Drosophila melanogaster: one gene and its partners. The protein of the gene in region 3 interacts with the protein of the main gene of each other region in a pairwise test. Each region holds a gene or a part of one and is shown on either strand. Other genes may lie near its edges.

Region 1 (4,493 bases), on a different chromosome or scaffold from region 3:
AGTTAAGTATGTTAACCTCTGGAAAATTAGACATGCCACAAGGGTTGGTGGTGCGGTGTGAGCTGGGCGTTGGGCGGTGGGTGGTGGGTGATGGTGTGGCAATAGCGATGGCTAGGTAACGAAAACGAGAATGAAAATGAAGTAACAATGCAGCAAACATCGGGCCAAAAGAGCGTTTGTAGTTGTCGTTGTCGTAGTCGTTGTCGCTTGGCGACGACAGCAATGCGCCATTTTTCGTTCGCCCCGCAAGACATGAAAATTTGGCTTTTCCCTCCATCGCTGTATGTGTGTGTGTGTGTGTGTGTGTGCGTGTTGGGTAAACATTCTGCCAGGCGTTTTCATTCTCTCTTGGATTTTCGCAATCGCAGGGAAGCCACACATTTCGCCCTCTGACCCCATAGAAAAAACCGCGTTGACAATGTCTTAGGCGAAATTTATCGCAGTTCAATAGAAAAATATTTAATAAAATTGGTTAGCCTTGCTGAATAAAGGAAATAATCATTTCTTTACTCTAGAATATATAAGAAATTCCAGAAAATTTCTGTGTGTTGTCAAGTGCCAAGTAAACACGATTTAATTGCGAGTAAACATTTGCCTTTTCTCTTATGGAAATATTAATTTGCATACATGGGTACTTATGCATGCTTAGTGATTTTCATGCCACAAAAGCTTGCAAACAACAAATGAGCTCAAGCAAACATAACTTTTTAGCATGTGACAGTTTTAAAAAATAATGAGAAAACAGGATACATATATACACGTTAGTAGTAGTAGAAGGTTGGAATATATTCGTATTTCTACATATAAATTGTACAATGTAGAAATATACAGAGATCCGGTTTGGGACACTACTTTCCCTTCTTGCCCTTGCCCTTTCCCTGGCGCTTCCTCTTGCGCTGATCCTTCTTCCACTTGCGCCAGTATTTTTGAATCTTGCCCGCCGCCCGGTTCATCATGAAGATGACCAGCTTCTCCTGCTGCACGCGACGTTCCTCCTCCTCTCGCTTGACCACGATGTTCTTGTAGATGCGCTCCTCCTGCCTGTACTGGACCATAAAATCGTCGAGGACCTTCTTGGCAGCCAGATACTGATCCTCCGCCACCAAATTCTCACGCATCTTTTCGCCCAGGCTGGTATCGTACTTCTTAAGCATACTCTGCAGTTGCAGGAGCAATTTGTTTCTATAAAGGATTGAGAGCACTTAAATAATAAATTACTCGATTTGTAGCTTACTTTTCGCTTCGCAGCTCGTGCTCTTCGGCCAGATGCTTCTTGGTCATCTTCTCGTAGCTCTCCCGGGCATTCTGCAGCTCCTCCTCCAATTCCTTCTGCCTGTCCATGCTGCTCTTGTGGTAGCTTCGCATCGTGCGATGGCACTTTTCACTGTAATTTGTAAATATATTCAAATAAGAATTTCTAGAACTAGAAATCCGAGTTACATTTCGTTCTGAATGGCCACGTTGTTCTGCCACTTCTTATTGGCCAGATCCTCCTCGACCTTCATCAGATAGATGCCCTTGGCGGCCGTCTTCCATTTGCCAATCACCTTCTGGAAGGCCAGGCTCGCCTTCAGTTCCTTGATTTTCTTCTTGATGTCCACATTCTGATGAAAGATGGCATGGAGCTTTCGCTCCTTGGTAATCTCGCTACGCGAGGATCGGTGCAGATGGACGTGGGCGCTCTCCAGGAGAAAGTGAAAGGCGGCCAGCAATTGGCGATCCCTTTCGTTTAGGTTCTTCTTCAAGTGCGGAAAGAATCGATGAATGCTATGGTTGACCAGGAAGAAGTCCACGATTCGCATGGTGGTGTGGTCATGTGGCAGCTTGGAACGTCCACTCTGCTTGCCAAGGTGGCGGATCATGTCATCGATGGGCTCGAGAACCTCCTCATAGCAGGTGTCCTTCAGGACGCTCTTCAACTTCTCGGGATTCTCCAGCAGCTTCGGTATGATCATCGCTATCTTGATGCGCTCCTGGGACATCTTGAGCACACGTTCCACTCCTTCCAGTCTCACCTGACGTTCGGCGGTGGTATCTGGAAGGAAAAAGGATATGACTGGTTTTGTCTTAAAACATTCATTTTATACTAACCCATTTTTACTTAGCAGCTTTACGGATCCTGGCGCATATATAAAATCCTCATTGAAAGATTTTCGTTTACACAGACATTAATAACTTTACAAAATTTCCTTTTTGCGATATAATTGTGTGCCGGGTTCTTTTAAAATGTATTAATTTAAACGACTCTCGGATACAACAGGAATTTTCTATTTATTATTAACGAAATCACGAAGTTAAAGCAGATAGGTGCAATTAATCTGCCGCAACCTGGAAAGTGAAGCTTTTTTTTCCATTAAATGTTCTTGAGCGTATTTCACTTGTTTGAATATTCTTAACTTCTATGCTTCTTTTGTTTTTTCTATAATTTATGTTTTTCCGATTTTCTGGCTATGCTTGTGTCGAGGTCTTTTTGAATTCTGAGCCGAGTTTGTTATTGTTTTTGGGGATAAACAAACATGGCTTGCTATGTTGACCGTGTTGCCTGGTTGCAAAGCCAAAGAATATATACCAAATAGAAACCCTTTCGATCAAGGAGCAACTGAAGAAGGGGGCGTGGCGAGGGGCGGTAAATTTGAATGGCACTTTCATGGCAATGACTGGTAGAAACTTTTGCCAAGTGCAGTAGTCGACAATGAAGAGTGTGGGGCGGTTTTCTAGGGGGCGGTGGGCGCTCGCCTTCGGTGGGTGGCTTGTTGCTTGTGTGTGGCCATGTCGCATTATGTCAACTGACGTGGCATGAATGAAAGCTGCTGCAGCAAAGCAAACGAGGGAAAATGCGCTGCAGAGGGGCTTGCTGGGAAAAAAGAAAACCATAAGAGCATGAAACGAACTTGTGAATGCAGAACAATGTTGGTGGGTGGGGTTGGTGGTGGTGGTGAAATGTTCCTCACTCAGGTGGAAAATCTACCTAATGAAACTGGCATGAAAGGGGGAGCCACAGAGTGAATGTAATCTGGGAGCCCTTCGCTGCAATCTGCCAAAAATCGGATTCACTAGTACAGTGGAGTCTCAGCACATCCTACCTAATTTAATTTTAAATAAATTTTAGTTACTTAGACGAAGTAATAATATAATAAGGGTCAGTACTTTTTCTTAAAATGAATAAATATATAATATGTTATAACTAAAGGCAGTAGTAATTGCATAAATGAGCTAGCAAATAAAATGCTGCAATGCGAACCAACTAAAAAAAGGAAGGGCAAGATGAAAGGGAAGAAAAATAAAATTGAGCAAGACATAATATTTGTTGTTGCCTTTGCAAAAAGAGAGATGTGTGAGAAAAAGCCAAAAGAAATGACGCATAAACAAGCAGAGAGAGCAAGAAGAGAGAATGTGCTTTCAAAGTGTGCAGCAAAACGTGTAAAGTAAAAAGGGACATAACAAGAGAGAGAGAGAGATTCAGAAAGAGAGAGCGAGCGCCTCAAGTTATGCATCGAAATTTGAAATTCAGGAGTAACGGGAGAGCGCCCTACAGTATGCAGCCAAATAAGGCAAGTCTGCAGAGAGAACGAGAGTCTTGCGCACACGTATACGTAACAAATGGCCATGCAAAGCACGAACGCAGAAAAACGCTAACGGTACTGCAAAGGAGGTGCAGGGCAAAAGCAAAAATCCAAAGCCAAAATGGTTCGCTCTCCTGCTGGTGGCCCACATTCGCTCAGCTGAGCTCGGCTTTACCGTTAACCGATTAGAGACTTACCGCTTACCATTTACCGTTTCGGGCCGTCTGGCCCTGGCTCATTATGTCCCGTTGCCTTGGCAGTATTGTTGTATATTTTTATAGTCGTCCTCACTCGACAGTTTCCTTTTGAGTTCTATTTCTCCATTTCCATCCCCTCTGCACATCTGCTCTCACATAGATTTCACAGAAATGTGGGCCCGTTATGCTCGGCCTGGCCGCATTGCAGCTATAAATTTGTTTGTGGTTCACATTTGCCTTGGAAGATTACTTTTGGCCATAGTCGTCGCGCAGAAGTGGGCGACAGAGAGGGAGAGGCGAGAACAGCGGAGATACCGCGGAACAATGGACTCAAGGAAAGGGAAACGAGAAACAAGAAACGACTAACTAACTGTGCTTAATGGTGGGTGGTGGTTCGTGGCTAGGGAATGGTGGGGATGGGGAATGGAATGGAATGGGGTGGAAACCCCATAAAGAACCTTTTTGAGAAAGTGTTATTATAATGCTCGGGCTGCCATCGGGAAGGTCAGGTTGTTGGGTCTCGTACCAGCGGAAGCTAAAGATATGCCCCTGGGTCTGGTCTTCCTTTGAGCAGGATGGCTTGGTATTTTCACGATAAAATACGAATTTAGTTTGCGGTAGTTTCGCTTTAAAGAAAATAGATCTAGATTCGTGTTAGGTTGTGGTAGTTTGAGATGGGATTATAAGAGCAGTGTTTATAAACAGATTTAGATTTTTAGTTCTTAGAAACCTT
Region 2 (3,474 bases), on a different chromosome or scaffold from region 3:
ATTAACAGACAAATAAAATTAATAAAGAAATAAAGATAATGCATGAGAAAGATGACGCCAAGAGCAGAACGGGTAACTAAAGCCGACCGATTTAATGAAAACAATTTTCCAAATTTGGCAAAACTATTAACCACGCTACGTTAATTTCATTAGCAAGTCTGTCTTTCTTGTTTCGGTGACCGTATTTTATTCACATACACCAAAAAGTACATCTATGTGGCAGCCATTAAATGCGCTAATTAGTTGGTCAATTAGCGTATGCTTTACTGGATTGTTTTTGGCTCTTTGTTTGTTGGCCCAAAGAGGACGGCTTTTTGGGTGGCGGAGCGTCAAAATCACAGTCACCATCGCATTTTGGACGTCAGCGGTTCAATCGCCCAACTGTCGCCACATTAATAAATCAGTTTAATTTAATTCAGTTGACAGCTTTAAGTCAATATTGTTGATTAATTGTTTTCTTTTAATTTCGGTTTTTTTTTTGGTTTTTGGTTTTGGTAACCTGCAGCTGTTGCCAAGGGGCAAATGAACACTTCACCGTTCATTAACAGCATTTCATTTTTGTTAATTAGCTCACTTTGGATCCATAATTCTTGTGCACATTGGACGGGTTTCCCGGCTTCAGGTTTTAAATGGAAAATAAATCGAAACCCTATTGTTTTAATAATTCATAAGCGGCAGTCAGCTTAATACATATATATGGACTATTTTTGCATTTAAGTTTAATTATTACATAAATACAAAAATTTGTAATTTTGAACATTCAATTATCATGCTTTTATTGCTAGGATTCAGTATGATTTGAGGAATCAGTTTCAGATTTTCTAATCTCGTCTAGGGCATCGCTCCAGGACATGAAGGCATCCGGATCATCCTCGCATTCACTCTTAATTCTCTCCGATTCAGAATTTTCGAATTCGGCTAGTTTCTGAAGACGAATTTGCATACGGCGTTCCACTTCCTCAGTGCTACTAGGAATTCTTTTTATAGGATTATCCCTGCCGAAAAAGGACGACTCACTTTCCGAAGGAAATGGTGAGTTCCTCGCAGAGATTGGCGAATCGATGGTGCTGAGATCACTGACACTGGCCGAATAATGGCTAGAGTTTATATCAAATTGCCTGCCTGAACAAGTAAATAATGAAAAGCCATCTCCAGCTGCCTTTGTCGGTGGTTCGGGTGGCAATTGGCCTATTTTGGCCATAAGACAACGACCACGGCACTTAAGCTTATCCATTTTGAGCAGACGAACGAGATCCTCGCGGGAATCCATTTCCACATACGCAAATCCCTTGGGTCGCTTTCCCTTCTTCGGAATGGTTAGAGAACGGATCGAAAAACTGGTGAACACTTTCCGCAACTCGCCTTCAGTGCACTCCATTGGCAAATTGCTGACCAATGCCACAAATGGTGGTTCCATTGACACCTCCTCTTCCGGATCGGGTGTACTGACCTTTTTCTGCAGATCTGAATTCGATTTTTTGGGCCCGTCGCCGTACATGAAAAGCTCTGCGTTGTCCACCTGGGAAGTTCGCACCTTTGTCACGTGCAACATGTCTTCCAATCCTTGCCCGGATTCGCTGCCGGAGACCGAGGACACGGAAGAGGAGCTGACTGGTGGCAGCTTGAAGCTACGCGATGACTTGGACATCTTTGCCATCAGTTACCAACAAATAAAGAATATATGTATTATTGATATAATGAGAACGTGGGTGTATTTTCCTTGAAAACTGGGAATGTTTTCTGCTACAAAAAGCAATGCCAATTTCGGCACAAAAATGTTTCTGTGTACATTAAATTTTACAACTATAAGTAAAGGAATTATTGAATTATGATGATTATAATTTTATATTAAACGAATCTTTTTGAATTGTATATATTTCTAGCTGCTAATGAACTCGAATTATTGATTCATCAACTTAAAAATGAAAAAAGATATGTCTTAAATCCTGATAAAATCATGATTGTTTTACATAAAGCAAGCTTTATACTTCATTTTCTCAGCATAAGTTTCATTCTTGAATAATAAATTGCTTTTTTCGCGTTCTGTCAATGCATAATTATAGTTGGTTGGCCAGGCAAAATGCTCGATTGAATATTCCCAGGCTGCGGATCGCATTCAGTGCAGCACCTGCTCCACAGATTCAGTTATACACATATATCGACCATCGGACTAGACAAATGCCAAGGTTCGCGGATCCCAACTGGCAACTATCGGCGTCGGTTGGAAAATATCAAAAGTTCAGCAAACAAGTGGCATGGAGTTGAGTTAGGAGTTTCGTAGTTTGAGTTTGAGTTTGGCTAATGCACGGATTGTGTCGTTTTCTGTTTGCTATTTGTTAGTTTGGTCGGTACGGTTGGTTTGTTGGGTTGGGTTGGGCCGAAACGAGCGAGGATGGAAGGAGGTTTCCACATTAGGCAACTGGCAACGGGCTACACCCATATTCCGTGGAAAATTGGGTGCGTTGGCCAAACACAAACTAAGGTAAACTGATAAAAATCATGGCCTGCAGCATGAGTGCGCCAGTACGAGTGTTATGGGCTTTCGGGCCAAGTAACCCAGCCAAGTGCCTGTTGCCCAGGGGCCTCGAGCCACACTCGTAGTACGTGTCTGGGACCGGGTATTACCAACAGACAGCGGACAGGCTAAAATATTAGGCCAATTATATTTCAAAAATTTACATGACGATGAAGTTGACGATGCCTGGGTCATCTATAATCCAAGCCATAGACAGAGAGGGTTCCACTTCCACACGAAAGAAATCCACACTCAAAAACATGGTTATATCATAAACATCAACATTTAGAAATTATAACATTGAAAATGATAGCCCTATATACATATATTATTATTCTAGATTAATATTAAATTAAATTGTATATATGTATATTATAATTACCATATCTCATAGAAGTAGCAAATATTTCAATATTCCGTAGCTTCTGCAAAAAGGAACTTCTCTTTTATTCATTCATTTCTTTTTTTCAGTGCAAGTACAGTGTGTACACGAAGGAAGCGTCAAGTGGCCTCCGCCTTCACGTTTTTTTTCCACACTATCTTGATGCTCTCACCACGGAACGTGCACGGGCATAAGTACGATGTCTGGAGAGCTACTCGTATCTGGGCACTAGGATCGCTTTCAGCTACATGGAATTTTCTTTCTTTTCGCTTAATTTCATAGAAACAGTCTGAATGAAATGTGGCAAAGGTGCAGCGAAGGTAATTAATTTCGAGGATTAGGCATTAGATTTTTGGCGATAGCAACGTGTCCCATAATTCTCATATCGAGGGGCCAGACGAACACGTCCGTAGACCCTATCTATCTACAAGGCATCTTTAACTCTACCGTCTCCTTTGTGGGTCACCAGAGGGCAACACATCGAAATTAATAATTGAATAGGGTTGTATGATTTGGATTAGGTGTAAAAAAGAACTTGGATTTGAGGTGCATATCAAATAAGGTTCAGTACCAAGAA
Region 3 (3,767 bases):
CGGAAAATATAAAAAAGAAATTAAGTGTCACACTGCCTTTTCTGGATCAGTTTGGATTGCTGGATGACATGTAATGATAATCTTGAACTTGTGTAAATAGTTAAAATAAATAAAAGTTTAAGTACTACTACGTATTGGCTCAACTACGTCGTTGCTTTTAATTTCCTGGGAAAATACTTATCTAATAGCTTGATTGCACTTTATGTGTGTAATTCGGCAATAACTGACCTTTTTATATGAAATACAGTGTTCATGACTGATAATAGCGCTTTCGAGTTTATTTCGGCAAGATAGTGCTAAACTCTTGACAAACAAAAGGTGCAAGCAATACTAAAAATCTCAGAAGATAACAATTACAAGCCCTTGAATCGTGGTGAAATAGAAACAATCGCGATACGCCAAAAGATAAGCCGCAGATGTTTTAGCTAATAAAAGAAACTAATATTTACCTACAACAAATAAATACGAATACGAATGTATTTAACAAGTCAAGGTGTACTACTGAGGAAAAAACTTGTAAGTGAATTGTTGCGTCCCCCTTATAACTCATACGCACCGTTGGCCCGCTTATCGTTTGCTTTAAAACGTCACATTTAATATAGTTTTATGAATACAAACATTTACAATAGAACCATTGTGTGTTCTATTTCTAATCTTATTGCTTACCAACTTGCAATAAAAATGAACTGCTTTTCATATGGTTTTAACTTCAAAATAAAATTTGTTTTTATTTTTTATCAAATACTCGTAGTATATGATGGCTTCCATTCAGTCAATTACGTCTAGTAGACCACTCCGATCGAAGCGTGGCAGCTCGCGTTTGAGATTGTCCTGCAACCTCTTGTTGGTGTACAATACCTTCCGGAAGTTACGGCCTCGTTCGTCATCCTTCATCAAAGCATTAAAGTCGGCATCGGCGTTTTGGTCATTGGTCAATATGGCCTGGCAGACCAGAGCGACTGTGACAGCTGTTAGATACAATAATATAAACAATTATAATGGGTTTTTGAAAATCATTCCAGATGGGACTCACCAAAGAATCTGCCCCTTTCGAGCTGCAGGACGAACTGCCTCAATGTGGGAATGTAGCCACCAAAGTTGAGATCCTTAAGCGTTTCCACGAGCACCGTGTGATAATACTGAAACAGGGCATCCTGCTGTTCGTAGCGAATATCGACCTGCACCGAAGTGTTGAAGAAGTAGTGCAGATCCACCGCCGGCGAGGACCAACTGCAGAATTGGAAGTCGATGAGAGTCATGTCCAGTGGCTCCTTATTTTCGCCGTAGCGCAACATCACATTGTTCACCCAGTAGTCACCGTGCACCAATGTATTAAAATCTCCCGGTTGGGGATCGTAAACTCTTGTGGAGTACTCCATTACACGTTCCTGCAGCTTCTTCAATTTGGTAGCATACCGCTCACCCAATTCGGGACACTCCCTGGCAAAGTCAGCCGCCACGCCCACCGTATTCACAAAGAAGGGTGCAAAGGCCTGGGTGTGGCGATTGAAGATGCCGTGATCGAACTTGGTCAGCAATCCGGGTTGACGTTCGTTCAGAACAGCAGCGGCCGCATGCATCTTGGCCAGCTTTCGGAGTCCCAAGCGGGTGTGCTCCAGATCGAAACCAACCAGACGATCGGCCAGGACATATTTCGTCACCGCAAGGTCCTCAAAGATGATGGCCTCGTGCTCGTAGTCCACATGCAATGTCTTGGCGAAAACCTTTTCCGGCTGGCGAGTCTTCTCGATGAGCGAGCTCAATTGGGGCAGGATCTTCTCGTACATACGCATTTCCGTGGTGCTAACCTGGTACTGGGAAAATATTCCAGAGGCGAAGGCATCGTTCTCATAGGTGGTCTTCACAATATAGTATTCAGTCTCGGGGCTTTTGGCGCCACTTTTCAAGAACAAAATCCGCACGCGTGTCATCACACTAGCATAATTGTCACCCTTGGCAGTGGCGGGCTTGATCACCAAATCGGTGATCCTCAGTCCCGGATCATTCTTCAAATCCCGGAGCAGTCGCTCCAAGTAGGTTTCATCTAGCCACTCTGGCGCCGGATGAAATTCGGTAGCGTCTTCCTTGCCCTGCTCCACCATGATGATGCTCGACTTGTGTTCTGGATCACTTGGTCCAGTCGAAGGCCCCATTTATAGGCAGCCGGAAGACGCAATCTCGCCGACAACAGATCCCACATTATGGTAGCCGTAAAGCAAGCTGGCTCAGACAATTACGTAGCTGCTGCCCGTGGATTTCGATTCATACGACAGAGATTCGTGAGTATCTAAAGCTGACTAGATAGAAGCAGATCTCGGAGCGCGACACTTGACAGGGTGAGATAACACCCCCACATCTCGCAAATCGGTGCACGTTCCTATATATGATGTAAGTGTGCCCGCCGTAATTCATGCCGAATGGTGCTGACGTGGCGTCTAAAGATCGCTCTCGTGCTCGCGTCAAACTAATCTACTTCACAGCCCATAAATCCATCTGCCGTCCATCCATTTGCATAGTTGAGCCGGATAGTTAAGCTATTTACAGACTTACAATGGTTTCGTTTTTTATTTCCTAGTATTTAACGTTCTACGTATTTATAATAATCAGTCGGAAACTTTGAATTTCACAAGGATTTTCGAAACAGAATAGCCCAGAAGGAAAATAGTTAAACAAGTTTTCAAGTGCCAAGATAATGGGTAGAGGAGATAAGATTTCCCCTGCATACTTTCAGGTGTAGCCGATAACAATCTTGAATGTACATTTGTATATATGTCGGGTCTTCCTTTATCTAGCAACAGAATTTTTATTTTCATCTGTTCGAGGATTTACGATCTGTTTATTTTCAAGAGGAGCTTTGAATACGGCACTGCCTACTTTTGAGCGAATACCTTTTCTGTTTTCCTGCTGAATGTATTCTGTAACATACCTTCCAACTTGAGAATTTCTTTGATGGTCAACTTATTAGGTACGCATATCCGTTTTCTTTCTTTTCTCATTAATAAATTAAAAATTGTGATATTGTCAATTGGAGATAATGCACCTAAATAAATAAAAAACGATCCATTACATATGTCAGATTCAAAACATGTCTTACATATTCTCTTTAATTTTTTTTAGGAACGATACATTATTTTGCTTTTTGATTTTATACCAAAAATTATTATGACCCACTTATGAGAACACAAGTGTTATTCTTATCTCAATGTTTTAAAAATAGCTTATACGACATGTTGGCCATTTTATGTCTCAGATCAAAAATGTCCCAACCGTATTGCACTAGTCCCTTGAATTTTGGAAAGTCAAATATCCCATAACAGAGATAAACATTTAATTTAAAATGAGATTGTTTATTATTATTTAAACTTATAGACATAAAACGTGGAAGCCCAATAAAACATATCCTAATAATCTCTTAACAGGTCTGGTTAACTTCCAGCAGTCCCTTTCTATCGAAGAAGGGAACCAGGGAATGTAAATTTTGTTGAACTGTAGGGTTGTTATATAATCGGTTCTTAAACCGAATGCCACGCTCATCATCGTTCATCAAGGCATTGAAACAGGCATCCGTGGGATCCTGGCTAATCATAACTGGCTGCACCACTACCGTAGAATGCAAAGCTATAAAGAATATACAATTATTTAAAAAGAAATTACATTTTGTGATTAAATATACCACCTACCAAAGAATCTCTTTTGCTCCACCTCCAATTTAAACTGATGCAAACTGGGAATCTGATTTTGACGATAGTTGAGCTTTTCTAACGTCT

The links.
Region 1: the proteins of CG10513 (region 3) and CG13168 interact in a two-hybrid assay, tested with the Drosophila melanogaster proteins (one large-scale study listed by BioGRID).
Region 2: the proteins of CG10513 (region 3) and CG11726 interact in a two-hybrid assay, tested with the Drosophila melanogaster proteins (one large-scale study listed by BioGRID).

Annotation. Positions count from the first base shown.
Region 1 is NT_033778.4:12,251,963-12,256,455, reverse strand, and holds CG13168 (uncharacterized protein), read right to left. Parts: upstream 2,465-4,493; 5' UTR 2,096-2,464; coding exon 2,092-2,095; intron 2,036-2,091; coding exon 1,441-2,035; intron 1,385-1,440; coding exon 1,235-1,384; intron 1,183-1,234; coding exon 849-1,182; 3' UTR 755-848; downstream 1-754.
Region 2 is NT_037436.4:11,392,954-11,396,427, reverse strand, and holds CG11726 (uncharacterized protein), read right to left. Parts: upstream 1,739-3,474; 5' UTR 1,658-1,738; coding exon 782-1,657; 3' UTR 755-781; downstream 1-754.
Region 3 is NT_033777.3:25,275,093-25,278,859, forward strand, and holds CG10513 (uncharacterized protein), read right to left. Parts: upstream 2,121-3,767; 5' UTR 2,103-2,120; coding exon 1,034-2,102; intron 969-1,033; coding exon 769-968; 3' UTR 698-768; downstream 1-697. Other genes in the region: CG11878 (uncharacterized protein), read left to right, coding at 1-74; CG10514 (uncharacterized protein), read right to left, coding at 3,413-3,618, 3,681-3,767.